Linked DNA regions of Nothobranchius furzeri. The protein of the gene in region 4 interacts with the protein of the main gene of each other region in a pairwise test. Links are inferred from orthologs where the notes say so. Each region holds a gene or a part of one and is shown on either strand. Other genes may lie near its edges. The genes, in order: trim23, paraneoplastic antigen Ma1-like, pomp, psma1, trim54 and mid2.

The links.
Region 1: the proteins of psma1 (region 4) and trim23 interact in binary tests that used the Homo sapiens proteins (3 or more experiments, as listed by UniProt). The link is inferred for Nothobranchius furzeri from reciprocal best matches to the Homo sapiens genes PSMA1 and TRIM23.
Region 2: the proteins of psma1 (region 4) and paraneoplastic antigen Ma1-like interact in binary tests that used the Homo sapiens proteins (3 or more experiments, as listed by UniProt). The two-hybrid records come from large-scale screens. The link is inferred for Nothobranchius furzeri from reciprocal best matches to the Homo sapiens genes PSMA1 and PNMA1.
Region 3: the proteins of psma1 (region 4) and pomp interact in a two-hybrid assay, tested with the Homo sapiens proteins (2 studies listed by BioGRID, with this or other methods). The link is inferred for Nothobranchius furzeri from reciprocal best matches to the Homo sapiens genes PSMA1 and POMP.
Region 5: the proteins of psma1 (region 4) and trim54 interact in binary tests that used the Homo sapiens proteins (3 or more experiments, as listed by UniProt). The link is inferred for Nothobranchius furzeri from reciprocal best matches to the Homo sapiens genes PSMA1 and TRIM54.
Region 6: the proteins of psma1 (region 4) and mid2 interact in binary tests that used the Homo sapiens proteins (3 or more experiments, as listed by UniProt). The two-hybrid records come from large-scale screens. The link is inferred for Nothobranchius furzeri from reciprocal best matches to the Homo sapiens genes PSMA1 and MID2.

What each region holds. Positions count from the first base shown.
Region 1 is NC_091746.1:63,287,143-63,292,438, forward strand, and holds the start of trim23 (E3 ubiquitin-protein ligase TRIM23), read right to left. Parts: upstream 3,227-5,296; 5' UTR 3,212-3,226; coding exon 3,080-3,211; intron 2,407-3,079; coding exon 2,244-2,406; intron 1-2,243. Other genes in the region: mzt2b (mitotic-spindle organizing protein 2), read left to right, coding at 3,854-4,029, 4,108-4,265.
Region 2 is NC_091745.1:26,673,706-26,677,643, forward strand, and holds paraneoplastic antigen Ma1-like, read right to left. Parts: upstream 2,098-3,938; coding exon 1,180-2,097; downstream 1-1,179.
Region 3 is NC_091747.1:41,727,124-41,731,853, reverse strand, and holds pomp (proteasome maturation protein), read left to right. Parts: upstream 1-1,742; 5' UTR 1,743-1,855; coding exon 1,856-1,858; intron 1,859-2,147; coding exon 2,148-2,245; intron 2,246-2,362; coding exon 2,363-2,423; intron 2,424-2,661; coding exon 2,662-2,763; intron 2,764-2,839; coding exon 2,840-2,933; intron 2,934-3,149; coding exon 3,150-3,217; 3' UTR 3,218-3,468; downstream 3,469-4,730. UniProt on the Homo sapiens protein: Molecular chaperone essential for the assembly of standard proteasomes and immunoproteasomes. Degraded after completion of proteasome maturation. Mediates the association of 20S preproteasome with the endoplasmic reticulum.
Region 4 is NC_091744.1:46,382,174-46,387,557, reverse strand, and holds the start of psma1 (proteasome subunit alpha type-1), read right to left. Parts: upstream 3,223-5,384; 5' UTR 3,111-3,222; coding exon 3,108-3,110; intron 2,273-3,107; coding exon 2,228-2,272; intron 2,152-2,227; coding exon 2,050-2,151; intron 1-2,049. UniProt on the Homo sapiens protein: Component of the 20S core proteasome complex involved in the proteolytic degradation of most intracellular proteins. This complex plays numerous essential roles within the cell by associating with different regulatory particles.
Region 5 is NC_091742.1:14,270,283-14,274,987, reverse strand, and holds part of trim54 (tripartite motif-containing protein 54), read right to left. Parts: intron 2,981-4,705; coding exon 2,885-2,980; intron 2,771-2,884; coding exon 2,537-2,770; intron 1,853-2,536; coding exon 1,830-1,852; intron 1,163-1,829; coding exon 1,030-1,162; 3' UTR 1-1,029. UniProt on the Homo sapiens protein: May bind and stabilize microtubules during myotubes formation.
Region 6 is NC_091741.1:89,375,971-89,381,440, forward strand, and holds the start of mid2 (probable E3 ubiquitin-protein ligase MID2), read right to left. Parts: upstream 3,094-5,470; 5' UTR 2,957-3,093; intron 1-2,956. UniProt on the Homo sapiens protein: E3 ubiquitin ligase that plays a role in microtubule stabilization. Mediates the 'Lys-48'-linked polyubiquitination of LRRK2 to drive its localization to microtubules and its proteasomal degradation in neurons.

The DNA.
Region 1 (5,296 bases), on a different chromosome or scaffold from region 4:
TATAAAAAAATGGTAGATATCGGCCTGATATACTGGTCCACACACACACACACACACACACACACACACACACACACACACACACACACACACACACACACACACACACACACACACACACACACACACACACACACACACACACACACACACACACACACACACACACACACACACACACACACAAATCTTTTGAGACTTTTTTCTCCCCATACCTACTGACCTGGTATGAGGAGTGCACCCACTTTTCATCACAGAGTTGGCGGAGAAAACCAACTACAGTGAGGGGAGCTGTGCTAACCCTGGCTGTTCCGAGCCGCTTTTGGCTGAGTAGCAATGTTGGGAAAAGGGTTAAACTCCCTTTGTCCTTCACTCTGTGAGCAGGAAGGTGAAACACTCCAGAGCATCCAATGCTTCCTCCCCCAGCCAATCAGTGACTGGCAGTCCTCTGACGTTGCGTTTTTCGTCCCAGTTTGGTACACTTGGAACCACTTTGAAGCAGACAAATAAAGGAGCAGCGACCTGGTACCCGTTACTAGTGAAACTGGGCTGAATCGAGTGGAGCTCTGCTTAGAAGGTACTGAAGGAAAAATCTACAAGTGCAACAGAGAACATTTACACCTTTGTCCAGATTCAATTCAACCACCTTCAGAGTTTTCAAGATTTTCCAGCACCGTACAGTCATGATTTCCACACACATGGAGAGACGCTAAATGGACAAAATTATTGTCTTGCTGAATTTCATTATTGGTCTAAAACTCATGCACGTCAATTGGATATTTTTAGCGATGTCCCAATACGACTTTTTCACTTCCGATACGATATCGATGTTGCAGCCTTCAGTGTTGACCGTTACAGATATCAATCTGATACGATATCAGCACAAATCATACTTTTACCCGTTTCCTAATGTGGAATGTATGAAAGGCTTGATCAACTGATATTACTCAACTGGAGAACAACAGCCAATAACAATAAGTATGAAAAATTTCTTTTGTAACCATTGGTTGCTGTAGCTGCCCCTGGCACCATGAAGAAAAGAACGGAGAGCCTCGACGGGTGCATAAACTTTTATTCGTTTCTCTGGTCCAATGCCTTGGACTTCACTCCATGAGTTGCACTGTGAAAACTGTTTAGAGATATACAAAGCATAAATAAAAGGTGAACACAACTTCGATGTCATAACAGAAATGAATTATATTCTCACATTTACCTTGCTCCACTGGCCAAGGATGCTAAACAAACCAATAAGTCCTTAAAGCTGCTTTATCTGTAGATTTGAGTGGGGATGGACAAGAATAACAAACAATGACTATAGAGTGTCGAAGTAATAACCCAAACAAAAGCGTCAATACAGCAAAACTTACGTGGGGATGCAGTCGGCACTGTGCAGCTGAGGTGAATTTAGACCAAAGACATAATTTCAACACTTCAAAAGTGTTATCTTCTCTACAAACAACTTAACCCAAGCCATTTTCTCTGGAAGGGTGTGGCTTATATAAAATCTGTGAGCCAATTAAGAGTCATTGCCATCAGCTGCTCATCTGGCAGCTACAGTTGCAAAAATGTGAACCTTAACGAACCGCTTTTATAGGAGACTTTTGATGCCATCCGATATAATCCGATACAGTGTTTTTGGGCTGATATGGAATGACCTCCGATATCGGAATGGGACATCCCTATGTTTTACTTTGTGAAGTGCACCAAGACGACTTGTCGTTATTTGACGCTTTATAAATAAACTGAATTGAGTTTCACTTTCCAGTGTCAGCACCAATGCATGACTTTAAATAACGGAGATGTTGATGTAAACAAATACTGCAAGACTACACAAAGTTTTAGGACAAAGTCAAATCAAACCTACTACGAAGGAAGGTCTGGATCTGAAATGTGTTCATGTTTTATTTCCCTACATTAGACTGTTTTCGATTGTGAGCTCTTTTCTCTGCAGCCTAACAGCATATTTGCATCTGCCGTCCAAGAACCAGTAAAGTACACCCTGCATCTTATGATGACTGTGTATTCTCTGTGCTTTGCCACTCCAAGATAATTTCAGTCAGGAATACCACTTGGATGTTATGTTACTTCTGAGATGAATAGTTGTTTGTTTTTAGTGATTGAAGAAATATTTTTGTCATTTTCCCAGGCATCCTCAGAATTTGTTCAGTTCAATAAAATTCTACCAAATGTTGCAAATCTGCATCCTTCTTCGAAGGCCAAATTATGTTATGTCCTTCACTCACCCAGCTCGGTGACCTGTCGGTCAAAGGGGCAGCGGACCGCTCTGCCGTGGAGGGGCAACCGGGTGAGACAGTCGTGGCACACGGTGTGGCCACAGAGCAGAAGACGGGGGACCTTGTCACCTTGGAGGGAGAAGACGTCCTCACACACACCACACTCCAGCACCTGCAAGTGACAGCACAGCTTGAACACTGCCTGTCTATGTGTCTGTCTGTCTGTATCTGCTGCAAGGTGACTTCCACACTCAGGATCACGCACACTTGTAAGGAATTTTAATTTGTAACTTTAGGTTTGACTTGATGCAGAAAAGCAGAGGTACTTGAAAAATAGTGATGAGATAAAAAAATCCCAGGGTGTTGCAGTCACTTTGACATAGTGACTCCCAAGGTAAACATCACGAGACGCTTTGCCCACATTTTATTCTGTAAACTAAAATTAATTCTTCCAACAGCTGCTACTGTACACCCTTATAATGCACTGACTAGCTGATTGCTTGTTTTTGTTTATAAGGCTGCAGCGATCAGAAACTTGTGCTAATGCCAACCGGCGGTTTTCGAGCTGGTGCTAGCTCGCAGCAAACGCTTCTTAATGACAAACGAGTCTTCTGGAATGCATAAACGGCTACAATAACATGATGAAACGCGTTTGCACAGCTATTACACTGTCAAAATCCGTATTTGGCACCCACTGCGACCAACGCCAACGCAGCAGCCTTAGCTTCCAACTAGAAATACATCAAGCAAGTCTGAACCAGCGGACATTTATCACCAAAGCTAACCAAATAATATGTTCACAGCAATAACGACCTAGCTGCGGAAATTTGTGACATGTTTACGACCTTCACGGTGCTTCCACTGGCTCCCCTCCCGTGCCGGAGACAGGTCTCCATCGTCGCTCCTGCGCCCTGCTTGTTTATTCCTGCTGCAGCGGCGGCCATTCTTCGACGACGGCGAGCGAGAGAACTGAGCATGCGTGAGAGGATAATCCCTCAACAACTTCCGCGGTGTCAATTTTGGTATACTTTTTGTAGTAATTTTGTAACCCACGTTCACTAAATAAATCGCATAGTGATAAACAACCGATAAATGACCCGCATTTGTATAGCGCCTTTCAGAGTCAGAGGACTCTGTAATTTCATTCTTTTAATTGTCTTTACTTTTTACCCTTTAAACCATATAAGTCCGTGGTTGAAACGACCACCAAGCAGCTTCAGCTTTTTTTATTTGTTATATAAATCTAATGCTTTGCTTAACTGGCTCAACTTTAATGTTTATTTACTCGTTCAATACATTTATCGAGAACAAACCACAGGCTTCTAACTACATGTCCCATCATGCTGCGTGAACGTTCCGTGATGATGACGCATTTTCTACGCGCCGTGTTTACAGAGAGGAGTTGTGGATATAAGCGGGATTCTACACGCTAAAAGCTGCGGCTTTAACGGTATAAACACATGTTTGATTAAAAACGTATTTTTTGTTGTTTATAACCTGTTTTTATGTTTACTTACCTTTCAGTGAGCGGTTGAATTTCGCCATATGTTTATTCTGCGCGGCTAACGTTTTATGTTCGCGCATAAATGCCATTTTCTCACCACTCAGGTGGACTTGATATGTCTCAGCCAACACAGCAGACGGGGCCATCTGCTCCTGACTTCCCTGCTCTGGTGGTCACAGCAAACGTGCAGAAATATGCCATAAAGAAGAAGAAAATCCTGAGTGCTGAAGAAAGTGAGCTGTTTGAACTGACTCAGGCTGCAGGCATCACTGTGGATCAAGAAGTCTTTAAGTGAGTGAACCGAGACCGGTAGAAATGTGGTTCTTCACGCGGCGAATGAGTAAAGGATTCGTTTCTGCCCTCCTGTAGGATCATAGTGGACCTCCTGAAAATGAACGTGGCTCCCCAAGCGGTCTTCCAGACCCTGAAGGCAATGTGTGCAGGACAGAAAGTAGCCGACAGCTGCATAGAGGCTTCAGTTGTCTCCCACACAACAAACACCACCCCAGCACCCACCGAGGTCAAAGGTCAGTGTGTAAAAACTGGGCTTTAGTTTTGAACTTCAAGTGTTACTCCAGCATGGAGGGATTCTCTTGCTGATGCAGTTAAAAATCGCACTTGTACTGTGCTTTTCTAAGTCAGGGACTCCAAAAGTGCGTTACACTGCAGTCAATAATTCACCCATTCACACTGATGATGACCCACCAGTTACCGGGTGAACTAACCCCTGAGCCACCATCAATTTATATTGGGTGAAATGGTTTTGTGATCAGTAGTTTCTAGTGTACCCATTTCAACTTGATAAAATAGTTACAGTAATAAAATATTTATTTTTGTCACTGCTGATCGGTTCACTTGTCAAAACAGAAGATACGCAATAAATAACTAGTCAGCAACAAGAAGCAGATATGGGCGGCCATGACGGAATGGGGGTAGATCAAAAGGTGAGCCGTTCGATCTCAGCCCACTAAGCCTCAGGTACGGGTCAAATGCAGAGAATGTCCAACAGAAAGATAAAAAAGTATAAATTATTATTATTATTTTCATCATATGAGTCACCCGACCATCACTAATGCCTGCTATGTTAGTCAATGGTACTTAGAAGTGTGTAATTTAGCAAAAGCCAGTTAGGGTTTCTAATCCCATTTATGATTACATTAAAATAACAGAAGAAAACAAGTCATGGTTAATTAAAAAAACTAATTCAATTTGTTGTGGTTTAACATTTCCATTCAAAACTATTTTAATGTGTTTTTGTTCTTCCTCATGCTAATTAGGGTTGTCACGGTGTGAAAATTTAACCTCACGGTTATTGTGACCAAAATTACCACGGTTTTCGGTATTATCGCGGTATTTTTTTAAATGTGTTACATTTCCACACAACTAAATAAACCCTGTATGTCAGGAAATATTGTCCTCAGTTTGTGTCTAAATTTTGCCTAAAATATGTTATTTTGTAATTATGTTGTTTATTTGTTTACATTTTTCCCCTTTAGTCTTTAAAATACCAATATTTGCCCATAACTTATTATTTTTTGTCTGTTTGATGTCATCATTT
Region 2 (3,938 bases), on a different chromosome or scaffold from region 4:
TGGACCTTGCCATTTCACTTGCCCTATGGGATCGTCGCCTCCACTGGACCTTAAGGACTGAGTTTGGATTTTATCATAAACTGCCTGTATCCTCATGGAGCTGACCTTGTTCTCGTTACCGCTATCTCTGCACAACTGAAATAGGCGGCTGAACAGAAAAGCGTTGGTACCAACCACTACAGGAGTTTCACGACCTTGCGGGGGCTCTGGACAAACAAGAGCGAGGACATTAAGAGGACCCTTGACACCTGCTACATTCTCAGGGAACTCTATCTCTACTACTACATACCCATGGTAAGGGTAGGACTCAGCTGATAGGCCCCAGATGGCTAGATTGGAAATGGGCTGTATAGGGACTGTTGGTATATTGGCTCTATACCAATCCTCAAAGATAATGGTCACTGATGATCCTGAATCCATAAGACCATGGCATGAGATGTTATTGACCTTATTAGGAGCTATGGATGATGGACCAATAAGACCTTCCGGTATGTTGGCACTTTGAGTTGGAACGTTGGTAGTATTAACTCGAGCAACACACTGATCTTGAGCGTCGGTACTTTGACTTTGTCCATTTGGGCTTCCATGCACTTGATGAATAAGCTTTTTGATTACCTTTTGAGCATTTTCCGGAGCTGTACATTTGTTTGCAAAATGGCCATTTTCTCCACATCTGTAGCAGAAATTATCTGACTCTTTACTACTCTTTGGCTTAAAGGTAGATGACTTTGGACTGAAGTCCGCTTTGAACTTAGAATAGTGCCCTCTCTCTTTTGCATAATGTTGTGGCGTTACCGACATGACACTTAACTGTGTTTTCAGCTCTTTGACTTCTTTTCTTAACTGTTGCACTTCGCTGCTTGTGTCTGATTTCTCTTTTTTCTTTTCTCTGGACATCTTTTTGTGGCTTGACTCTGTAGAATGAGACTGCTTACTGAGCTCTTTCAGCTTTTCTTTTAGCACTTGAATTTCGGACTGAAACTCATGTTGCTGACAATCTCTGGAGTCTGTTTCACTTGCTACTTGCACTGCATGCACGTGCTGTCTCTGTGCTGGTTTTTTCAGTTTTTGTCTTGCAGCTTCACGCTCCTCTTCTTCTCGAATTTCTTTCAGTAGACTTAAAAATGTCGGGGGATCACTTCGCTTACCTCTAAGACCTAGATGAAGCAGCATGAAGTCTTATTCAGTAGCACCTTTAATGAGTTGCTCAAGCCTTGCTCGGTTGGCTTCATCTACTTGTAGGCCTCCTTTTTGCACGACTTTGTTCAGTAATCTTTCCAGTCTCAGCAAGAAGTTAGACAAGCACTCCCCTTGTCTTTGATGCATAGCTCTGAATGTGAGATACAGTTCCTCACCGGATTCTGCGGTACCAAAGGTACTTTCCAATGCCTGTATGCAGTCCACATGGTTTGCCAGGGGATTAGACATGCGCACTGCTTGAATGATCTCCAGCGCTGGCCCTTTGAGACTCTCAATAATTCTTCGGCGTTTCTCCTTATCTGAGCACTCATACTCATCAGTCATGAACTTTACTTGTTCTAGCCAGCTATCCAAGTTGTCTTCACCAGGTGGAGTAGGGTAGACTCCTGAGAAGATTCTAAAACGACGGTATAAATTGCTTTCATTTGGCTTGGACTGCAACACATCACCTACCACCCGAATGATTGACTCAGGGCTGCTGTTCCATGGAGTTCTAGGATCACATAGTCTTTGAACATCCTCCATTGTTTTCCCTTCATCACGCAGAAATCTGTCCAACTTCTCTGTGAATAGGTCGGAGTTCGTTTCTTGCTCTGCAACAACTATTGTCCATTTACTTCCATCCTTAAAGGAAATCAACTCTGGCGGAACTTTGGTAGGATCGACTGCTTCACAGCATTCACATAACATGGTCAGGGTTTGATTATTGGCATCAAACATTTTTCCTCTTACTCTTACCTTGCCCAAGGTTTTTACTTGTTCGAGTGTTTCTTCTACTGTGGATAGGTCCTCCTCTTCAGGCACTCCGACAACTAGAATGGCATGTGCCTGATCGAGCCCTTCACCTCTGCACCAATTTGCAAGATTCGGTTGTGAGACATCACTTTTAGTGGCCATAGTTTAACAAGTTACTTTGTAGGGGGAAAAAAAAGATTAATTGAAGTTGCTTTTTAGGACCAGTGTTACTCTTAGTTACTTTAAGGTTACAGCAGATTTAGTGGTAACTTAAAATGTAGATAAAACAACAACAATCCCAGCGGTGCCTCCAAATGTGTAGCACCCAACTCAAGTAGCTCTGGATTAACCCTCGGTTAAGATGGTGATAGTACTATGAGCGGGGCCCTGGGTACATTAACTAATCTTATTGGTAAACAGGAGAAACAATGACTAACCAGTTTTAACCTTTGTGAGCTCATTCACTGAAACCGTTGCAGGCCTGATCGTTGCTTGGGCTCGTTGGGCCAGAAAACAAACAAATGGCCGCTTCACTTGATAACCAGCAGAAAACAAAACACACGTGCTCAGGTCTACTCATGAATCCTTTGGGCTAAGTGCAAGGCAAACGGAGGGGCAGTCTTGGTTGGTGACCATGCGGCCTCCACTCGGCAAGGTGGTCGGAATTAGCGGCATACCCGGGCTGCTGAGTACACTGGAACAACCACACAGAACTCCTATCCACAGCAGAAGAGTCCAGAGAATTCCTCTCGGTCCACTGTGCATTAGAGATTACTATTTAGTTCCACAGAATAAGCTGTATCTTACGTACTCGACATACATAGCTATTACAGGCTCTAAAATGCTAACATGCTAACTCGCGATTAGCACCATACATTTTAAGTACTTATACATTCCGTTTAAGCTCAATGCTAACTCCACATTCAGTACTCACTCATCACAGGGTAAAACAGTCCATAACAGGAACGTAGACTCTGCATCCACGGCTATTATTTCACTATTCTTCCATTAGCTCTGGTACACAACCTCCTCCCGCAACGTGCTGCTGCCGACTCTCACTAGCTTCGCTGTTTTTTCTTTCTTTTGCCTCACTTAGCTCCCGCCTCCCTTACGTCTGATTGGACAGTAGGTTTACATCAACCAATGGGATAAAAGAAAATACAAGATTGACAACCCAAAATGAACTTGTAAAACAACTTGAAACAATACAAAGTTTTCCTTGTTTCACATTAGATAAACCTTTAGTTTCATTGTTACTTATAACTCCATGAACACTCAAATTATGATTGACTTCTATTTATTGTGATTTTAAACACATTTTTAACCATTTGAACTCCTTGTTTTTTCAAATATATGAAATATTTACAATAAAGGCTTTACACAATATTTATATCCTTTTAACCTGTAGGGTCTAGAATAGATATTTGAGACCAGGCTACACATGTACATCTGCACACATACACTTGCACACCCCTTTGTTTCCTTCTCTGCCTTATCTTTTGATTAATCTGTGTGTTGTGACCTTGTAACTGTAGTGTAAAAAAGACATTTCAATTACAAAAACACATCTAATTGTACTCACCGCACATGTGTCTGTTTTCATTGTGCTTTTTATTGGATCACATATCCTTCTGCAGTTTATTACAAAAGACTGCAGCTCATTTCATTCCAATGGCAGAACACAAAAGAAGAAATTTACGAAAATCTGGCAATACTTTCTCCCAGAAAACAACAAGAGGATTTAGGTGAAACTGATGAGGAAGCTCTGCCCCTTTTGGAGCCCTACAACCCAGGTAGACTTCTCAGTAGAAACATAGTTCAAAATTTAAACAGGTTACTGAAAGTTGGACTCCATACCAGCATAATCCTCATTCTCCTTTACGACTGCCTGCACCACCTCAGCTGCAGCTGACACAAAGCGTTCCAGCACAAAGGGTTGGCAGGATCCATGGAGGTGAACCTAGAATACCTGACTTCAAGGAAGGTGAGGATCCTAAGAGCTT
Region 3 (4,730 bases), on a different chromosome or scaffold from region 4:
GGTCGCCTCCATGGACATAATATATGCCTCAATCAAAATTTTTGTGCAGCCCATGGTTCAAACAACCGACGCACGTGAGATCACTATTGACATTTCTAGTCTACTTGTTGGAATTTTATATTTTTATTTATTTATTTATATTAATTATCACACCATACGTTTGAGACTAATGTATTTTGAAATGATTTTTTTTGTGCTTGCTTGAAGTGTCACCCCCAAATCAACTTTTTTTTCTGATAAACTATATAAATGCGTGTCTAATCGTACTGCAGACACGTGTAGTCAATAATTTAAAACTTTAGGGCATTTTAGTTAAATTTTCAATTATCTGCCTCAAACTGTCACTGTTGTGCACCTGTCCTGTTGGAGGCGTGTGAGTCTTTATTTGTTGCTTGTTACTACTGTAAACAACACCCTCAATCTCGTTCTTGCACCTTAAATTACTCTATTATTCAGTTGATCGGTTATATTACACAACTCTAGTAAATCATTGCTTTGTTGTGGGGTGACACACTTGATCGCCAGTAACAAAGGTGGAAAACAAGCTAACTTTTCACCGTTTTCCTGCTTAGAGGCAAAACCACGGAGACCAAATATCTAACATAAAGTCTCGTTGGCTTGCTTGGATCGCAGCAACAAGGCGACCAAACATCACCTTCTGGAGTATTTTCATTCTGGAAAGTTACAAATAGTGTATGATTTTATACATCGTTTCTTTCTTTCAACCGCGACATGCACATGAAACACACACACAGAGGCTACACTCACATACCGGTGAGCTAATGCAGGTGCTCTCACACACAACACAACTTCTCTTTTTATACTTCTTCTGTTAGATTATAAATTTGATTGTTTTACTAGAAACACCAGCAAATAAAACGTTTACCTCTCATTCGGACGTCTACATCTGCTCACACCGCAAACAAGTAAGCCGAAAATGTCCGTTATGCAGAACTGCAGCGGCAACAATATGTCATTGGTGCTCCAGTCTTGGGTCTTTCATGTGGATCAAAACCATTTATAATGCTCATTTTGACCACATACCAGTCCCCAACGTCTTTTTTAACCTATCTCTGTGTATTCCGCATCCTTTTTTGGGGGGGGGGGGAGGAATGATGTTTTTAACACTTTCTTTCACCCAAATTAGCTTTTTCTCTGCACCAGTGCCGTTTGTTTCATGGTGTGTTTACACTTGTCAGCCTTCCAACATGGCACATCCCAGCATGCTATGCATAATCACGTGTGACCACAAGCCCTATACTAGGGGGTGACTTGCTCTTTAAGTATATTGTTGTGGGTTAAAAACAAAGCAGCAAAGTGTCTCAAAATTGCTAACCTTTTAAAGATTTATTACTTAAAAAGATTTACAAACACTACATGTGTGTTTCACACATTTGTCCTTTACCAGAATGTTTCATCTGTCTTGTAATTTCCATTTTGTATTTTGTAATTTGTATTTTGTAATTTGAATTTCTTTTATTGTTGATTTATCCAATATATTTACATACAACTGTACAATGTTCAGCGCTTTGGGCTTCCTGACAGGGTTGCAGAAGGCGCTTTATAAATAAAGCTTTGATTGATTGATTGATTGAAACACTAATTTCTTTCATTTATCTGTCCACAAACCATCATTTTTTAAAGAAGTGCAAAGATAAACATGTCACATTTTTTGCGCTTCCTACAATAGGGGATGCAAATTTCGGCAGCTAAGCTCTTTTCGGCACAACACCTTTGCACCTCACTCGTATGATGTCTGTGGCCTGTGCTCTACACCGGATGTCACGTGTTCTAAACACTACAGGAAACGGAAATTTAGGTGGGTCAAAAAGAAAGCGCAAGGAACAAAATCACAATGGTAAGCTAGCATTATTTAACACCAAATTTAAAACTATCCTTTACAGATTTCTAACTGCTGACTTCATCTATTTAACTATAAATAAGTGTACTTAACCCCTCCATGTTGTAGATTATATTCAATATGCGCTTTGAAACGCACCCATTTTGAATTTGATTAGTCACCGGAGCTAATGCTAGTTAGCCTTTTGGGTTATTAGTGCTGGTGTCTAGCTGATGTTAGCGTCGCTGTTTGTGTTAGCTCAGTATGAGCTGATTTAAACGTCATGATGCGATTTTGTGTGCTACAGAATAGCCGAGGACTCCACTCCCAGCTGAAGGACAGTGTCCCTGTCGCTGGACTTTGTCCACAGGGTGCTTACGGAATGCAGGACTCTCTACGCAGCGGGTAAGAAACTACCGCTTTCATATAAACCTAATATTCTACTAGTGTACAGTTATTTAATGACAATCAAGTCGGTGTTATTTTGATAATGAAATAAATCTTTCATTTTTTGTCTAACAGCTTCACGAGCGTAAAGAATGAGCTTCTTCCCAGCCACCCGCTGGAGCTGTCAGAGAAAAATGTAAGTAGTGTTTTACAGCTGTTTTCTGATATGAAGGGACATCACCGTGGTTTTTCATTGTCCAAAGGTCAATCAGGATGAGACTGAACACAGCTAAAATATCAGCATGTGTGTGTCATCTGTGTAATGTTACAATAGACTGATTCCTCAGTGAATAATCGTTTGTTAATTTTTTAACTTTATCTATTATGGAGTTTCTACAGGCTGCTAACTAATCTTTGTGTTTTATACTTTGTAGTTCCAGCTTAACCAGGATAAGATGAATTACTCCACACTCAGGAACATCCAAGGTCTTCATGCTCCACTCAAACTGCAGATGGAGTACCGAGCAGCACGACAGGTAGCTTCGCCTCCTATCACCTCTCCCACATATGCATGCTTCAGTTTTTAAGGCTTTGGTTTTTTTATCCTTCCAGATCCAGCGTCTGCCTTTCTTACCGAGTTCCAACTTGGCTCTCGACACGCTCCGAGGAAGCGATGAATCCATCGGCTTTGAGGACATCCTCAGCGGTGAGAGCCTCATCCTCTTTGTAGACTTTGTTTTCTGACCTCCTTACGGTCAGGTTTAAATAAATATTTAGTTATATACTCTTTTATCACACTACTGCATTCTAATAGTCTTTATGATATCGTCAGCTGAAGTCTGAGTCTCAGATCTGTGTGTGAACATGTGTGCAGACACATTAGCATGAAGCCTAACTAATCATGATGGCTGTGTGTTTGCAGATCCAGCCCAAAGTGAAGTGATGGGAGAGCCACACATGATGGTGGAGTACAAACTAGGATTGTTGTGAGAGCTCCTGTAAATAAAAACCTACACAAAATATTTACTTTGTCTTCTTCAGCATATATTTGATATTTCATTCCAAAACCAAAGTTAGAACCTCAGCTTTTGGAAAATTGTTATTAGAAATCTGTTTTTCTAGCAGGGCCTGGTGTGAGTCAGTGTGTCGGTGTAAAACACACAGAAGCAGGAGTGGTACACCACTTAAGGTTGTTTTTGTGTGATGGATTTTGATTATTTCTAATAAATTTCATGACCTTCCTTGTGGTGTGACTTCATTTCTGTAGTTCTTCATCTGCTTAGCTTGACCTTACACTCCGTTGTCTGAATCTAATACAGCCAGTCAAATAGTAAAAAAAAACCCGCTGGAATTTAAAAAAAAATATATTTTTCTGTGTAAACATGGTTTGTAACACATTTAGATCAACATGACCATAACTTCTTGTATTTAGAGAAATGTATTAATGTTTCAGAGCACAACATGAAGCAGGGTCATCAGTAGGTTGGTTGTGTGGCCACTAGAAGGCACTTAAAGACCGTTCATGGTTCAGAAACAACTCAGAAGTAGAGCCGCTGTGGGTTCTGCAGCACTGTTCTGTGCTCGGGTTAAAAATCAAATTACAACTAAGAAAGATTCTGCTGAACCTTATGTATCCTGCAGTGCAACATTCAAAGTGGCCACGAGGTTATCAGCCTGGAGTGGGTGTCTGAAAAACAATTTGGTCTGCAGGTAAATATTTACATAATAGGATGACTTGCAAGTCTTGTTTTCTGTATGATTCCAGTATTTTGATGGTCAAAATCATGTGATTATGCCTGTTTCCTGTTCATATAGGTGAAGGAGGGAGCTGCCCTCTTGAGGGTCCTATGCCGAACTTTCTGACAGATGCCGCACACGTGACGTGCTACATTTGCTGACATCACTACATGTCTTTTATGCAACGTGTAAACAGTTACTACCTCTTTTGTTGGTTTTGGGAGGAGAAGCAGTGACAACCCCCCAACTGGCTGAGAATGAAATCCTTCCAACAAAAGTGAGACATTAGTTTTGTGTTTATTTCATTGTAGAATTCTTATTGCACCTTTAAATAAAATCAGGGCCCTAACCACTCGTGTCTTTTATTTTCCTTTCCTTTTAGTTATTTTTAAAATGTTTTAAAATTTTTCACAAAACAGTGAAAATTGATTAATTTGGAATCCCAATTTAGCCTGAAAAACTACTCTTAAAAGGTGTTACTTTAATTTCTCATCATACAATGTTTAGTAATTCACATTATTATAGATAAAAATAAGAGAGAATTTACTGAGTTTTCATTAAACTAGATCAGAAAATGTAATAAAACAAAACATTTTATCATCTATGCACCATTCAGCAGCAGCTGAGGATTGTTCTAGTAAGAATGAGTGTTTTTATAAATGAGCAAGTGGAAAACTACAAATTAAAATAAAAAGATAAGACAATGAGTCTGCAACAGATGTAGATTATTATTTTAAAGGTTGAGTCCATTCAGTTAAAGCTGATG
Region 4 (5,384 bases):
TTTATATTATTAAACTCACTTTAACGAATGGCAACAGACTCCCGGATCCCTGTGGCATTACGGAATGGGTGGAAGATGTAGGTGCGTGGCCAGATATCCAGTGGCCCGATATATGTATACGTTTTTAGTGGAGAGGCCCAGTAAGTACACACGTGAGAAGCTATGGGCATACAAATCGTTAGCAGCATACAACTATGTTGTCTGTGGCCACGTACAGAAAGTAAAATATCACGACATAGACTCTGAGTTTTGCGTCTTGAAGGCAGAAGTCCTTCCTAGCCAAAGACAAGGACACAAGACTGCTATGTACGAGGCTTGGGTCATAGTAAACAAACCAGAGAACTACGTCTTCACAGCCAACTGTACCTGCATGGCAGGGTGAGTATAGCATAGGTTTCTTTTTTTAGCGTGCTCAGAGTACATTCGTGTTAATTTTAGAGAAATAGAGAAAGCGTATAAATTTGTTTAATTCTGTCATTTTGATGTTCCAGACTTGGGTCATGCTGCAGCCACGCAGCAGCAATTTTATTCAGAGTTGAGCTTTGTGTTAGGATGGGAAAAACAGAAAAAGGCTGCAGTTACCCTTTTGATGGCCTGCAGCCACAGACGCCTCCGATTTTGTTGAAATGGATGTGCTCCCTTCGGAATTCTGTAAAGTTTCAGTCCACTGCTTGAAGAGAAGCGATTCTGGCATCCATACACGCAACAACCCGACATGTTTATGTGCTCAGAACTTCAAAACAAAGGGTTTAAAACGCTGTTTTAGTATCGAGTGTGAATGAGAAAGCCTTCACTCTCGTTGCCAGGCTGCGCGCGCAACTTTTGATGACGTAGGTAGTAAAAGGGTCTATATTGTGGATGAAAAAAGGAATGGTCTGACAGCAGAAAGAGCAGAAATGCTTATATTCCTCAGAAAGAACCTGTCATTGTTTAAGTGAGATTAGATGAACAACATTTAAGTACCTCACGCATTTACATTTTTTTTCAAGAATAGTTCCAGACTCTGACAAGATTGTTAACTTTATCTAGGTCACCTGCAATGCAAAATCTCCAATGCTTGAATTGTACTTTTCAGATGCACACTGTTGCTGTTTGTTTACATTGCACTTTTCTTTAATTCAAAATGTTTAACATTTGAAAACTTTTGTTTTTTTTACTGCTACATGAGCAAAGACTTACTGAATTTGTCTCAGATGCACTTTTTTTTGATAGTGTGATTTTATACTTGAAAATTACATTTTTGATACTACAAAAGACAGTGAACTTAATTTGTGGGGATTGGATAAAGCCCTCTATTTTATTTGGAGTAGTTTTATGGAAGTTTACCCTTTTCAATTCATATTTGACAATTTAAAAATGTGTTACTGCCTAGTGTGATTATTTGGACCTGGGCTGTTTAGTTCAATTGAAAGGGTTTGTTTCTTTGATTGTGCATAATGCACTTGCGTCCAGTAACCCTGCCTTGAAATTGAATAAATTTCAATTTGAAACATTAGTTGCTTTTTTATTTTTATTTTAGGATAGACAATTAGTTGTTTTATGACCTCGCTTATCTCAACTTATCTTTTGGGACATGGTGCTGGGCTCTTACTTGTAGGGCTTTCTCTCAATTACATATCATTCTTGTAGAAAAGAGTTTATTATAGCCTTATAAAATCAACCATAATAATAATCATAATGACATTAAAACAAATATTCCTCTAGTATCGAAATAATATCGGTATCGGTAGATATTCAAATTCAGTTATCGGAATCGGAAGTGAAAAAATGTGGATCGATGCATCCCTAGTTTCAGGCTGAGTAGTGCTCCTACAAAACTAGCTATAGAGTCATGCTGCATCACGTAAAGTTTGGTATTCTTGACAACCATAAACTTTACCTTCATCCTATGATAATTCTAGTTTTCCTTGTGGATGGGAATCAGCAAAAGGCCAGCATTTTCAACAACACAGAAACTTGTAAATGTCAATAAGAGACCACGTTCAGGTCCCTTACTGACATCAAGTGAGAGGAATCTAGACTGGTGACAGTTTCAGCAGTGAGATGTACCTTTAGTGCAACCAGGACTGCATGTGTTTTGGATTTCAGTCCTACAGTTGCAGATCCTTGCTTCACCGCCTCCATGGCATATTCGATCTGATGGATCCGCCCCTGTGAGTGCACAAAAACGAGCATAAGCAACTTGTGTGACATCTACACTTGGTGACTCATGCTGAGGAAAACTTACCTGTGGGCTCCATACTGTCACATCATTGTCGTACTGGTTGCGGAACTACAGATAAAGAAAAACAAATCCAAAATTAGATTTAGAAGTCTTACATTACAGAATAATCATCAATGGTTGAACTTACATAATCGTCTTGCATTTTATTAACTGTTTTCTCACGTATTTCTTTGACGCGATAAGTTAACAATGTCCGTGCCTGTAGGTCTACAGCCAGGTCTTCTCTACCCAGAGGTTTTAAATTACTTTAATGAATAAATAACTGATAATCTCGCGATTTTGCTAAGCTCCCTCCGAACCACAAGCAGCCTTCAGACTGGCTGAGGTCATATTCCTGCTCGATTTCTGTGTACCAATTGTTTAGTAAAATGCTGACATTAGAAATACTTGTGGATCAATTCGTAGCTATCTTAGCTTTACCACACGGACAGACAAAATAAGTCACTATCAAAATGAACGGTGAGCTGAGAAACCGAAAGCACAGCCTACCCCGAGCATTGCTAAGGCTAACTTAGAAGCTAATGTTAGCTAACAATTAGTGTTAGCCTGCTGCCGGCTTTGGACTCATCTAAATAAGTAATGTTGTCATATCGATTACAATTTCGGGGGTCATTACGTATTATTCAATGTAACACAGTAAAGCAAACACACTGGTTTATGCGAGTAGGCAGTCATAATCAGTGTAGCGCCAACAGTTTCCAAGGCTGTTTTGCTTACTCACAATACAGACAAAACTAAGCTAGTTATGTTAGCTCACACCGACTAAATTGATCCTCTAAATGATAAATGAACAGGCATAACGGTAAACTAACTATTTTATTTTTGTGTAAATAATGTATAATTTTAAACTGGCAAGACTAAATGAAATTTCATTCAAACCTACCATTTCTGATTAGGAGTGTGCGATGCGGTCCACACTTCTCGATTCTCGATTTCTTTTCCTGGGCGTTACGTCAGGGAAAAGCAGCAGAGCCCTGATTTCAAATCTCTGATCGACTGAGTGAACAAACGTTATTTATTTATTTATTTATTTATTTATTTATTTATTTATTTATGAAAATAAAATTTAAAAGACACACTTCTCCTTAGGGCTTTATTTGACTTTCAATTTTTTTAACACTTGCACATATTATTATTATTATTATTATTATTATTATTATTATTATTGATGATGATGATGATGATGATGATGATGATGATGATGATGTTGTTTAACCACCAAATAATTGCAGCCACTGCTGCAACTCCCCACTCCCCACAGGAATTGGTCAAATGTGGAGAAGCAATTTCACCAATGTGTGATGACTAATGGGACTTTAAGAATTACAAACATTTTAATTAAGAATCAATCTATTTTAGTATAGAAATTTGTTACATGCAAGTGACTGCCACATTTGACTGAAAAGTCTATGAGACCAAGATAGAGATAAGAAAGTTTATGAAAATTAATTAGAGAAAGAAAAGGAGATGTAGGTATTCGAGTCCCACTAGTTGTCACACTGGTGTGGGAAAGGTGTTCTCTGCATTTGATCCATCTCCTTGGGGAGCAGTGAGCTGCAGACATGGCTGCACTCGGGACTCATTTGGTGGTTTAACCCTTTTTTTAAGGTCTTTGGTATGGCCCAAACATATTTGAACCAGGGATTTGAACTCACCATTCCCCAGGCTCAGGGTAGACCCTCATACCACTAGGCCCCTGAGTCAATTGCAACTTGTGGTTACACAAACAGCACAACCAATGTATTAATCATATATTTATTTACCAAAAATAACCTAAACTAAAATGTAAAAATAATGTGGAAAAAATGACCTCATGCAGGCTTTTTTTAAACTTTTTTTTATTTCGTTTATTTATTTGTAATAATTTTTTTTAAATTTACATTTATTTTTGTTTTATCATCTTTATTTGTTGTTTGTACATTGACTCTGTTGTCTTTCTTTTTTTATTGATTGTAAAGAAAGAGGACCTGCTCGAAAATGAGATGGCTCATCTCAAGCGGTTTACATCCTCATAAAATTTAAGTCAAAATAAATAAATATATGTAGTTTTTCTGAACATTTTGCGAAGGTTTTTTCTCCTCATCACTACAGAAACCTCTCATCTTTACACATGCAGTGATGGTGCTTGAACACTAGGTGGAAGCAGTAAATGAGGAAATCCAACAGATTTTACCAAATTGGTGACACTCAAAAACATGCGTCACTGACTGCTGTTACAGCAGAAACCAGTGGGAAGGAGAACTAGCTGAACCAAGACAAAATGAGAGATATTGTACCCACATTTGTCCATTTTTGGTCTCTCACTGTGTTCACACCTATTTAATCTACACTCAGGCTTTACTTATCCCAACAATATTCAGATTTTTACATAAACAAGGATGAGAAATAGAGCTAAAGCACAACAGGGTCTAGGGGGCGCTATAGCTACCCCTGGATTAGTCATAGCACCCCCAAGTAAATATTATATATTTTTTTACAATTTAATTTAAATTTCACGTGTGGATGTGATAATATTTAACATACAAAACAAAAATAATCAGTAAATTACCATATGGTTAGTAAAAACTTAAACCAAAACAGGAAACTGATGTAAACCTTTGACCTCATTTTCCACCTGTGAACGAGTGAAAGGTAGAGCTAGCGGTAAAATGGATCGGTTTTTGTTGCCCACATTTCCACGGGTTCAGTCAGAAATGAATGAATGTTTGGAAGTGATCTCAGACCCACAAAAACCTACGGATCTGGATGAAGAGAGTCAACAGTTTGCCGGTTTTTGGGAGTAAGATGGCGCTCGCGCGGGTGCACACTGCGAGCTGCTCGTCCTCTTTATGCAGTGGTACCTTGCTTTTTATTGACGTTTTATTGGCTTTTATGCATTTTGTTGTCTCTGATGCTTTTTTGTATGGTGTGGATTCTCTGGTGACATACGATCGAGCTGCGCTGCTGAGGCTTCGTCCTCCCGTTGATGTAGCGGGTTGCGCGAGCTGGGAACCTCACGGATGGCGCTGCTGGTTGGACTGCCCGCGTGCTCTCTCCCCCCAAGCCGTGATGTGTCGGCCCTCTGTCTGCCCCAGCTCGAGAAGGAAACATCGGAGAAGACGGGGAAAGAGAGGTAGCCGGTGCGTGAGACGTCGGGCTGGAACCCTGAAGAAGCAGCTGG
Region 5 (4,705 bases), on a different chromosome or scaffold from region 4:
GGGGAGAGGACGGTCTGGAGCTCCCTAGTTGGGATGCTGCCCCTGTGACCTGGACCCGGATAAGCGGAGGAAGACGACGACGACGACGACGACAGTTAAAGAGGCACGCAGAGCTGGTTTTAGTCTGCTAACGGTAGTTAAAGGGGCCATGTCACTTTGTGGAGCTTTTTAACCACGTGATGTTGTTGTTTAGTCATGAAAAAACAAACACATTTTAACTGCATTCATGCATTTCCCTGTTTCAGCTGCAAACATTGACTTTTACTTTGAAAATCTCGTGAAGCGTCAATGGAAACTAGGCCCTGCTCCTCTACTGGAAGCTAGTCTCTGGTCTGAAACCTGTCTCCTCTGGTCAGTGGAGGATGTGTGTCGTAGGTGACTCGTGTCATGTAGTAGACTTGGTAGTCCAGAGATTAGAGTGCTAGTATCCTGGTCTGAGCAGTAACTCGCCAGCATGATGTTTTCAACCCTTTATTGGTAAACTGTTTACAAAGTAAGGACTAATTTGTGTTTTTATTTTGTTTATTTAGCTGGTGTGAGTCCGTGAGAGGTGAGCAGAGTAAATCAGCTCAAATGCTGCTAGGAAACAACCAGCTTCAAAGATCTTTACACAAAATAATTAACTGAAAAAAATCAACAAAACTAAAATATTAAAACATGAAATCTGCTTCAGCTGGCTACATAAGTTACTGCCGCCGCCACCGGGATTCAAACCCACATCAGCACGCGGCGAAACTAGAATAAGAAGCTCACACTTGAACCCCTGGACTACCACAAAAGACATCACAGATGCTGTTGAAGGCACATCTTGGAAGCGCAGGTATGGGAGGAGCTTCACGGACACAAAGCTTTTTCCCGGGTATGCATTCAGGCTGACAGAAATAACTCATGTGAAAGATAAAAGGACATCTCAATAATAATATTTTATCATCTGCTGAGCTGACCTTTGCTCTATAGCGTGATGTGGGACCTTTAAGATGTGCTGAGGGAGTCTGCTGGATGAACCTCAGCTGCAATCCCAGCTCTGCTTTACATGCAGGAGCAGAAGTCCATGTTTCTCAGTGAGTCTGCGATGTCGTCCGTGTTGATGATGAAGTGGTCCATGCTCTCGTAACTGAGCTCCAGGCGCTCAAGGTTCCAGGTTCTCATCACCACTGACATCCTGTCAAAACACAGATTTCAAAATAAAACTCAAGCCCTGCAGCTGTTTAATATAAAAATGGGCTTAAACTTTAAACATTTTGTTTATTTTATTAGCCACTCTTGTTACTATAGCGATGTTTAAGGCTTTTGCACGATGAAAACTCAAATTAAACAATGAAAACCTCCACACTCGACTCATTACAGGTTATTTTTCTCTAAGATGAAACCGGTGTGGAACCCATAAATTCACTGATTAATAATAAATCTGTCAAAAGCCAATATTGACTCGATCCATCAGCCAGTGAACACACACAGATCCCCGGTCGTTCACACGAGGCGGCCGCCGATGGCAGAGCAGATTTGCTTGTTTTTTTTATGTCAACAGTTGGATCTGTTCAATAATTAATCAGAGGTGACACGTGTGAGAGCTGATGACTGGGCAGGTTTACTCAGTGCCAAAGCTGCAGCAACTAAAACCACAATCACCTTCAAGCTTTTCAGCTGAAGGTCAGATGAAATGGTGCGGTTCTAAATCACAGGAAATCTGCTTTAATAAACCAGTTTTTAAAAATCTGCGTGCAGACATGCTTTGGTGTTTATGATGCTAATTGATGGCCTCCATCGAAAAAAATGTGTACAGGAAGTTAAATACCTCCGAATGAGAGCCTCGCACCACACACACTCACCGTTCCAGCAGGACATCGGAGATCTGTGGATGGAGGAGAAGATTCCTTCAGTTATCTGTGTGAGCCACACCTGTAAGCTCTCCCCAACCCTCAACGGTTCGTGTGCGCTGAGTTCCCCAGAAGTTCCCAGCTTCATGAGGGTTAGGGTTTGACATTTACACACGTGTGAGCACACACCTCATACTTTACAGGTCTCGTTCACTAATGTCTGTTCTTGTAGAAACCTGATCTGTCGTGGTGAGTTGCACGTGCACCCTGAACGTTTTCCTCTACCCTAGTCACCTGCATCAGCAGCGGGGCAACAGTCGGGTCAGAGAAAGCCAATCTCTTCTATGTCACAGGGAAAATTCATATTCGTGATCCCGCCCACCTTGGTTTAGAACCACCCACAGGAAGGAGACAGCAGAGCGTCTCGGCGAGTAGAAGCTAACCGTTAGCATTAGCTAATCCAAGCATGACGGAACACGTTCAGCTTTGTGTTGGTGGAGACGTAACGTGAACGCTGCATTTTTACCAAAGAGCGAACAGAGGAAGAGTCACGTTGCTGTTAGCCAATCAGAGGCGAGACGTTTGAATATCATGAATATTAATAAGCTAAACTCATAACTTCTTTTCCTCCTTCTCTTTCAGTCTGAAATAAAACAAATAAGAGCATGACTTGTTTCCTCTCTGCACCTGATTCATGATGCAACAGGTGTGTTCCTCACCTGGATGAACGAAGCCATGTGAGGCTCGTCCATGGATCGAACGGCCGTCTCCACCAGTGCTACGGCGGTCTCCAGGTGGTCGCTGTGCCAGCTGATGAGGGATCGCACATGATTCAGTTTGTCATCCTGATGTTTGCTGATGAATCCAATCAGCTCGTGCTTTCTCTCCTCCAACGTTGCCATCAGGTCGTCGATTTGGTCAGCCAGGTTCTCCCTCTGTCTGTGAGCATTCTCCTGAAGGGAAAACGCAGACGAAGGACCTGAAAATGTACTTGACCACATGCAGAACATGTGGGTAGGATCAGTTAGGTAACAGGAAGGGGGGGGGGGGGTGTTTGTGGGTGTCACCTCGATGCTGCGGCAGATTTCCTCCATCTGAGAGATGGCCGCCTGGACTTGGTCGTTACTGGCAACCAAGACAGCAATCCCGTCACTCAGCTCCACCTGCACAGAGTCAACAAAGTAAAGTTCTCCCATGAGAACTGAAACTCTACCAAACCTGGTTGTTTTCTCTGTTTTTAATATTAACTTTATCTGTTTTAATAAAAAATGCTGGTTTGACAACCTCAACATTTAATCTCTGTGGTTCTGGGTTGGTCAGCTCCTCCAGGTCCGAGGTTCTGGATCTCCACCCGAAGAAGTTGGGTTTCTTCCTCTGGGTTTGGAACAGGTCATTGCCTCTATGAAGGAGCTAAAGTATCTTGCTCCTGAGCGATGGAGGAGAGCAGACCTCTGATTTGGTCTGTTGTGTCTGTCATCATGACCAAAACAAGATCCTGGATGGAAGACACCAGGATGAGTTTCCTTAGCTGCTCCTCCTCATCGGAGAGTCAGCTGAGGTGTTTGGGGCATCTGTCATGGATGGTTCTTGCTCGTCTTCCTCTGGAGGGTTTCTGGGCCCCTGGGAGGACAGCCTGAGGCAGACCTGGACCTTACCAGCAGGATTATAAATCCTCTCTCCTGGAAACATCTTGGAATTCTTCAGAAAGACCAGAAAGGGAAGTCTGGGTCAACCCAGCCTTGGACAACTTGTGGAAAACAGATAGAAATCACAACTTCTTTTCCAGTTTTGGTCATTTGAATAATTAAAACATTTTCATATAATTTTTTTTATAAATTATTGATTTCCTGTTTGGTAGATTTTTGTTGTTTTTTATTTTTTTATTTACTTTTACACACACACACACACACACACAAAACTAAATTCCACAAAATGTTTTACTTCCCCATTTCAAATTTGGACAAATCTGCAAAATAAATAATTAAATTAAATTAATCATTCATTTATATGCCTCCACTACTTAGTTAAAATAAAATAAAATATAATAAATCATTCATTTATATTAGCCTCCACGACTTAGTCTTGTTTCTAATTAGAAGCAAATAAATTCCATCTTTCAGTTCTTTTTAAAACACAGAAAAGGTTTATTTACCTGCAACGTTTCGTTTGCGGCTGCAAACATCATCAGGTAAACGTTTTGTGTGTTTTAAAAAGAACTGAAAGATGGAATTTGAAACTCAACGCAGCAAGAACACACCAGAGAAGCAAGTCAAGTTTAAAATGTGATTTCAATAATCATTTCTTGTATTTATATATAAAATCTGTGTTTACAGCCACAGCGGCCGACCTACATGAAGTAAATGGAGTTTATCTAACATTAAAATCATGAATGAGCTGAAAAACAACAGAAATCGTTTTACAGAACATGAAATGAAGCCTCACAGTCGACCACTCATCATCATCATCATCATCATCATCATCATCGTCGTCGTCCCTGATCCACATCCGATTCAAAAGCTCTTTATTATTTATCAGAAGACCAGATCCAACACAGACGACGGCCCTCTGACTGAGTCACCAGCGTTTCATCAGCCTCCAGTGTCTTCAGCTGGTTTCATCTACAGCTGACGCGCTGCTGGTGGAAGAAACTTTCACACTTCGGATCGGGCCAAATGAAATCACCAAACTGTGGTTGCTAGCTCTGCTCACGGCTGCAGAATCAACAAGCGTCTCATCTGCATTTCAGATGAGTGATTCAGAGACGGAGTGAGAGATGGCGATCCGGGCGCTGAAATGTCAACAAACCAGCTGCTCGATAACGATGCTGCCGCCGTCGTCTGCTGGTGCTCTTTGTCTTTCGGGGGTTTCTGGGTCAAAATTTCAGTGGA
Region 6 (5,470 bases), on a different chromosome or scaffold from region 4:
TACGTCCACGTAAAAAATGTGCATCGATGCGTCATCACGTTCAAAACAAACACGGCAGCAGCGAGTAGCGACAACATGAGTGAGGCGGTCGGCGAAAATCACTCACAGTTCAAAAGTATGGGTCTACTTCAACAGAAAAGGAAGCGATTCAGTCATTTACCAGCTTTGTAAAATGGAAATGGCCTATGACGAAACCACGACGGCCATTCACCAGCACATCAAACAACGGCATCCAGGAGCAGTGCCTTCAAACAAAAATACATCGTAAGTTCTCAAATTTTAACGCTGTTATTTACCATCCAAACACCCCCACGTAGACATGCACTCACTCACACACACGAGCAGACCCACGCACTCACAGTCTCATTCACTCACTCACACACACTGAGAAAAACATTCAACCTCAACTCATTGAAGCTGCTATAGCGGTAACAAATAGCAGCAGCTGTTACCTGTTTTGTTGGTTTTTATTTGTGGCTCATGCTGGCAAAATAATTCTGAATGCGCACATGCTGATTATGAGAGTTGCCGAGAGCCGAAAATGTGAGAGAGCGCAAATTGGCCAAAGTAAAAATGTTAAAGATAATGTCACGGCCGTCGTAGACACTATTCCAACATTGTTGAAGTTCTTGCTAAAGCAAAATGACAATGAACTCTTGATTGTAAAGTGTAATACCTCATCCTGTTTGAACTTATTTTCTATACTTCATGCTCCTCCAGATTGTTGATCATATAGATATAAGGTGCGTCATCTACTACTACAACAACTTTATTTTAGAATTTTTTTTAATAAAATGTGTTCAAATGAAGAAATGTGTGTTTATTTCATTGAGATACATACATTAGTAATACTCAAATTGCTATAGAAGTCAAATAATGGGGAAATAATCGATAATCTAATCGAATTGAAATCTAATTAAGTTGACAGATTAGTTAGAAGCATCGAAAAAAGTATCGCTAGATTAATTGATTACAAAAATAATCCTTTTGTCCAGCCCTAGTGTGGACACTTGGCCTTGCAAAGGACCAAGCTAGGCCTTGCAGCTCAGAAACAGACCCTAGCACCTTCTTAGGGTTCTACAACCCCCCAAGGTACTTCACAACACAATCAGTCATTCACCCATTCACACGCTGATGACGATGAGCTAAAATATAGCCATAGCCACCCTGGCGCTCACTGAGGGAGGCGAGGCTGCCAAACACAAGCACCACCGGTCCCTCTGACCACCACCAGCAGGCAAGGCAGGTTAAATGTCTTGCCCAAGGACACAACAGCAGCAATCTCTGGTCAGAGCCGGGATTTAATCTGCAGCCTTCTTATTACTGGACAACCCGCTCCACCACATGAGCTACTGCTGTTGTGTATTTTATGTGTGTATTTTATGTGTGTATTTTACATATTCATAACCTATAAGTAGTAAAGCATCTTTCTTTAAGCGTTATCATCTCAAGTTAACAATCAAAAACTCAAATAATCAAAACAAATAAAAACATGTACTTTTTTAAAATCTTACATTGTTTAATATTTACATGTTTCTTTGGTAAAAGGCTGATCCTCCTTTGCTTTGTCCGAGAACAGAGTTCCAGCTTCAGAAACAAACACAGAGATAAACAGATACCTGGCTGAACTATTCTAGGAAGTCAATGCTTCAACTGCAATGATTTCCAACCCTCTGTCACAACTATAATCATCCCAGCGTGTAGACACCAACACCCATTCCTCCCCACAGAAGGGAAAAAACCCTCACTGCTCATGTCATCATTATAAAGTCTTAATAATTATCATCTGAGGGTGCAGTGGGAGAGCGCAGGAGTGAAAGAAAGCCTGAAAACGAGAGAAAGAGGCAGTAAATGGATAGAGTGAGAAAGTAGGCAGCACCCTGTGGGTGCCTGACGGATGAGGGTGTCAGCTGTATTCACCCAACTAGCAGCCTTGTCTCAGAGAGTGTCAAGCCCCATGCACAAAGACCTGTCTCATTAAAGGCTGTGATCATCCAGCAACAAGAGAGCAAGAACGATCGGGCCCATAAATGACTTTTTAGAAGCTGGCGAAACACCAGTTCATTAAGCACAACGCTCTACTCCATGGCTGATCGACATTGACCACCCATATGGAATGTGTCCTCTTCACATTAGGAAAAGTTTATTTAATAGAGAATTCATCATCTAAACATAAGAAATAGAGAGAAGCAACACTCGACATTGGACCCCGCTTCCCTGCATTTGTATTGTTTAAAATTGGTGCATTATTAATGAGGGGGGGGGAATGTTAGACTCAGCTTTTTGGAGGCCAAACTCAAACCAGCTTTTGTCTCCTGTCACCAGCAGCATTACTTCAACAGTTAAAACACTGGAGCCAACACAAAAAGGTAAAAATCCTATTTCAGTGATCAACTACTTCATCATCCAATAACATCTATAGTTTTGTTATTTACATAAAAATACAACATAAATTTGACAGTTTTGACAGTAAAAGTCAATAAGTATCATCCACAATGCGCTAACAGCAGGGTTCAGCTCAGGTCATGTCATCTCAATCAATACACAATGTCACTATTGATCAGTGCAGGGCACTTGGGGGAAAACGATGAATAGAGGTTGCTAAATACATCCTAATATCACTGTAGACTATCTAACACATGCGCAAAGAGATAATTACTACTAGATGTAAAATTTACCACTAATGAGAAATTTGCTTGAGTACATTTGCTGATTAATCTGAGACGTTTTTCTGCATCAGTTGTGTGCACTCACACACACACACACACACACACACACACACACACACACACACACACACACACACACACACACACACACACACAAACACACACACACACACACACACACACACACAAACACACACACACACACACACAAACTGCTTACCCGTCCAGCTCCGGTTCTCTCAAGCCCAAACACCCCGAGCCCCCATAGGAAGAGACAGAAAGCCTACCTCGGTCCCCGGTGACAGCTCTCCCTCTGTGTTTCTGGAGGTCGACTTGTGGCAGGCGCTGACAGGATGGTAGTTTTCGTGAGCAGAGAAGTTTCAACGAGGCAGTGCCACAGTGATCACACGCGTTGTGTCAGCGTATCAGCAGACACCGCGTGACAACGCCCCAAAACAACAACAAAACAACTGATGTGGATCTTCTGGACCCGCTTCTGAAGGATGTTGCTTTTCCAACTCAGCTGTGCGCAGCTGCGCGCTTCCTCCTCCTCTCCCTCCTGACGCGGTTCCCCCAAACCAAACGAGGGCACGTGACCAACCCACAGGGGACTGGAATAGATTTCCTCACCCCTCCTCCCCCTCCAACAGTAGCAGCTGGGATCAGTTTCACCGCTGCTCCAGTGGCCGCGCAACAAACCCGAGCCGTGCGCACCCACACTCTTCTTCCACACATCATCCCGCCTCAGCGTCTGTCGCTGTCAGGATTATAGCTTCAAATTTAAAATGATCAGTTGAACAAATAAAGTGAATAAGAAAAAAAACATTTTTTGGCTTGTAAAGTTGGATGAAACGAACTGATCACGATTCCGATTTAAGCGTCCTAGAAGAAACTTTATCTTTATAATAAAACTGTTAGTTTTACTGGGTCAAGTGGCTCCATAGAAACAGCATCGATGTTTGAACCTATTCAGTAACAGATGAGTGAGGTTGAGACCCAAACAAGTGATACACTAATATCATCACCATCCATAGCCCCTGCGTCACAGCTTCACCTGGAAAAGGAGAGAGCGGAACGGGAAGACTGTCAGGAATTCTGACAGTTTTTGAAACCATTTTTTCAGTTAAAATTAAACGTTGCCTATCGAATTGATAAAGAGGACAAAATATAAGAATCTCAGAAGAATAACAACTAGCTGATTAGTACACTGCCCAGCAAAAGGCAAGGCAGCTTTATTTAGAGCACATTTCAAACACAGAGGCAATTCAATGTGTTTTACAATTATCAGGACATGGTATGAAAACACATAAAAACACAAAGTAAAATACACACAGATAGAATTACAGTTTAAATGATAAATGACCCACACTTGTACAGCACCTCTCAGAGTAAGGACTCCAAAGCGCTTTACACTACAATGTATCATTCATCCATTCACACACACATTCATACACTGATGGTGATGAGTTACGATGTAACCACAGCTGCCCTGGGGCGCACTGACAGAGGCGAGGCTGCCAAAAACAGGTGCCACCGGTCCCTCCGACCACCACCAGCAGGTAAGGTGGGCTAAGTGTCTTGCCCAAGGACACAACAGCAGAATTCTCTGTCCAGAGCCGGGATCAAACATGATACCTTTCGATTACTGGACAACCCGCTCAACCTGTTGAGCTACTGCTGCCCTTTGGAGCTAAAGGAAAAAAAGTTGCCACCAAAAGAAAATGTTGCACAACCTAATACTTTGTTGCACAACCTTTAGCTTTGACTACAGCACCCATTCACTGTGAGGTTGTTTCAATAAGCTTCTGCAAATTCACAAGATATGTTTGCATCCAGTGTAGCTTTAATTTTCACCAACATCTTGCATCGAAGGATCTTTCATGGCGGTTAAAATGAAGAGTCGGAGTACCCGGCCCGGAGGGTTACCGGGGTCCCACCCTGGAGCCAGGCCTGGGGTTGGGGCCCGTGAGCGAGCGCCTGGTGGCCGGGCTTTCGCCCATGGGGCCCGGCCGGGCCCAGCCCGAACCGGATACATGGGCTCGTCCAACTGTGGACCCACCACCTGCAGGAGGAACATGAAGGGTCCGGTGCAATGCGAATCGGGTGGCAGACCAAGGCGGGAGCCTTGGCGGTCCAATCCCCGGACAAGAAAACTAGTTTTTGGGACATGGAACGTCACCTCGCTGGCGGGGAAGGAGCCGGAGCTTGTGGCAGAGGTTGAGCGGTACCGGCTAGATATAGTCGGACTCACCTCGACACATTGCATTGGCTCTGGAACCCGAGACCTGGAGAGGGGTTGGACACTCTACTTTGCTGGAGTTGCTCCGGGTGAGAGGCGGAGGGCTGGGGTTGGCTTTTTGTTAGCTCTGAGACTCTCTGCCTGTGTGTTGGGGTTTACCCCGGGGGACAAGAGGGTAGCTTCCTTGCGCCTTCGGGTCGGGGAACGGGTCCTGACTGTTGTTTGTGCTTATGGGCCAAATATCAGTTCAGAGTACCCACCCTTTTTGGAGTCCCTGGGACGAGTGCTAGATAGTGCTCCATCAGGGGACTCCATTGTCCTGCTGGGGGACTTCAATGCTCACGTGGGCAATGACAGCTTGACCTGGAGGGGTGTGATTGGGAGGAACGGCCCACCTAATCTGAACTCGAGCGGTGTTTTGTTATTGGACTTCTGTGCAAGCCGCAGTTTGGCCATAACGAACACCATGTTCGAACATAAGGATGCCCACCGGTACACTTGGTACCAGGGCAGCCTAGGTCACAGGTCGATGATAGATTTTGTAGTCGTATCATCTGACCTG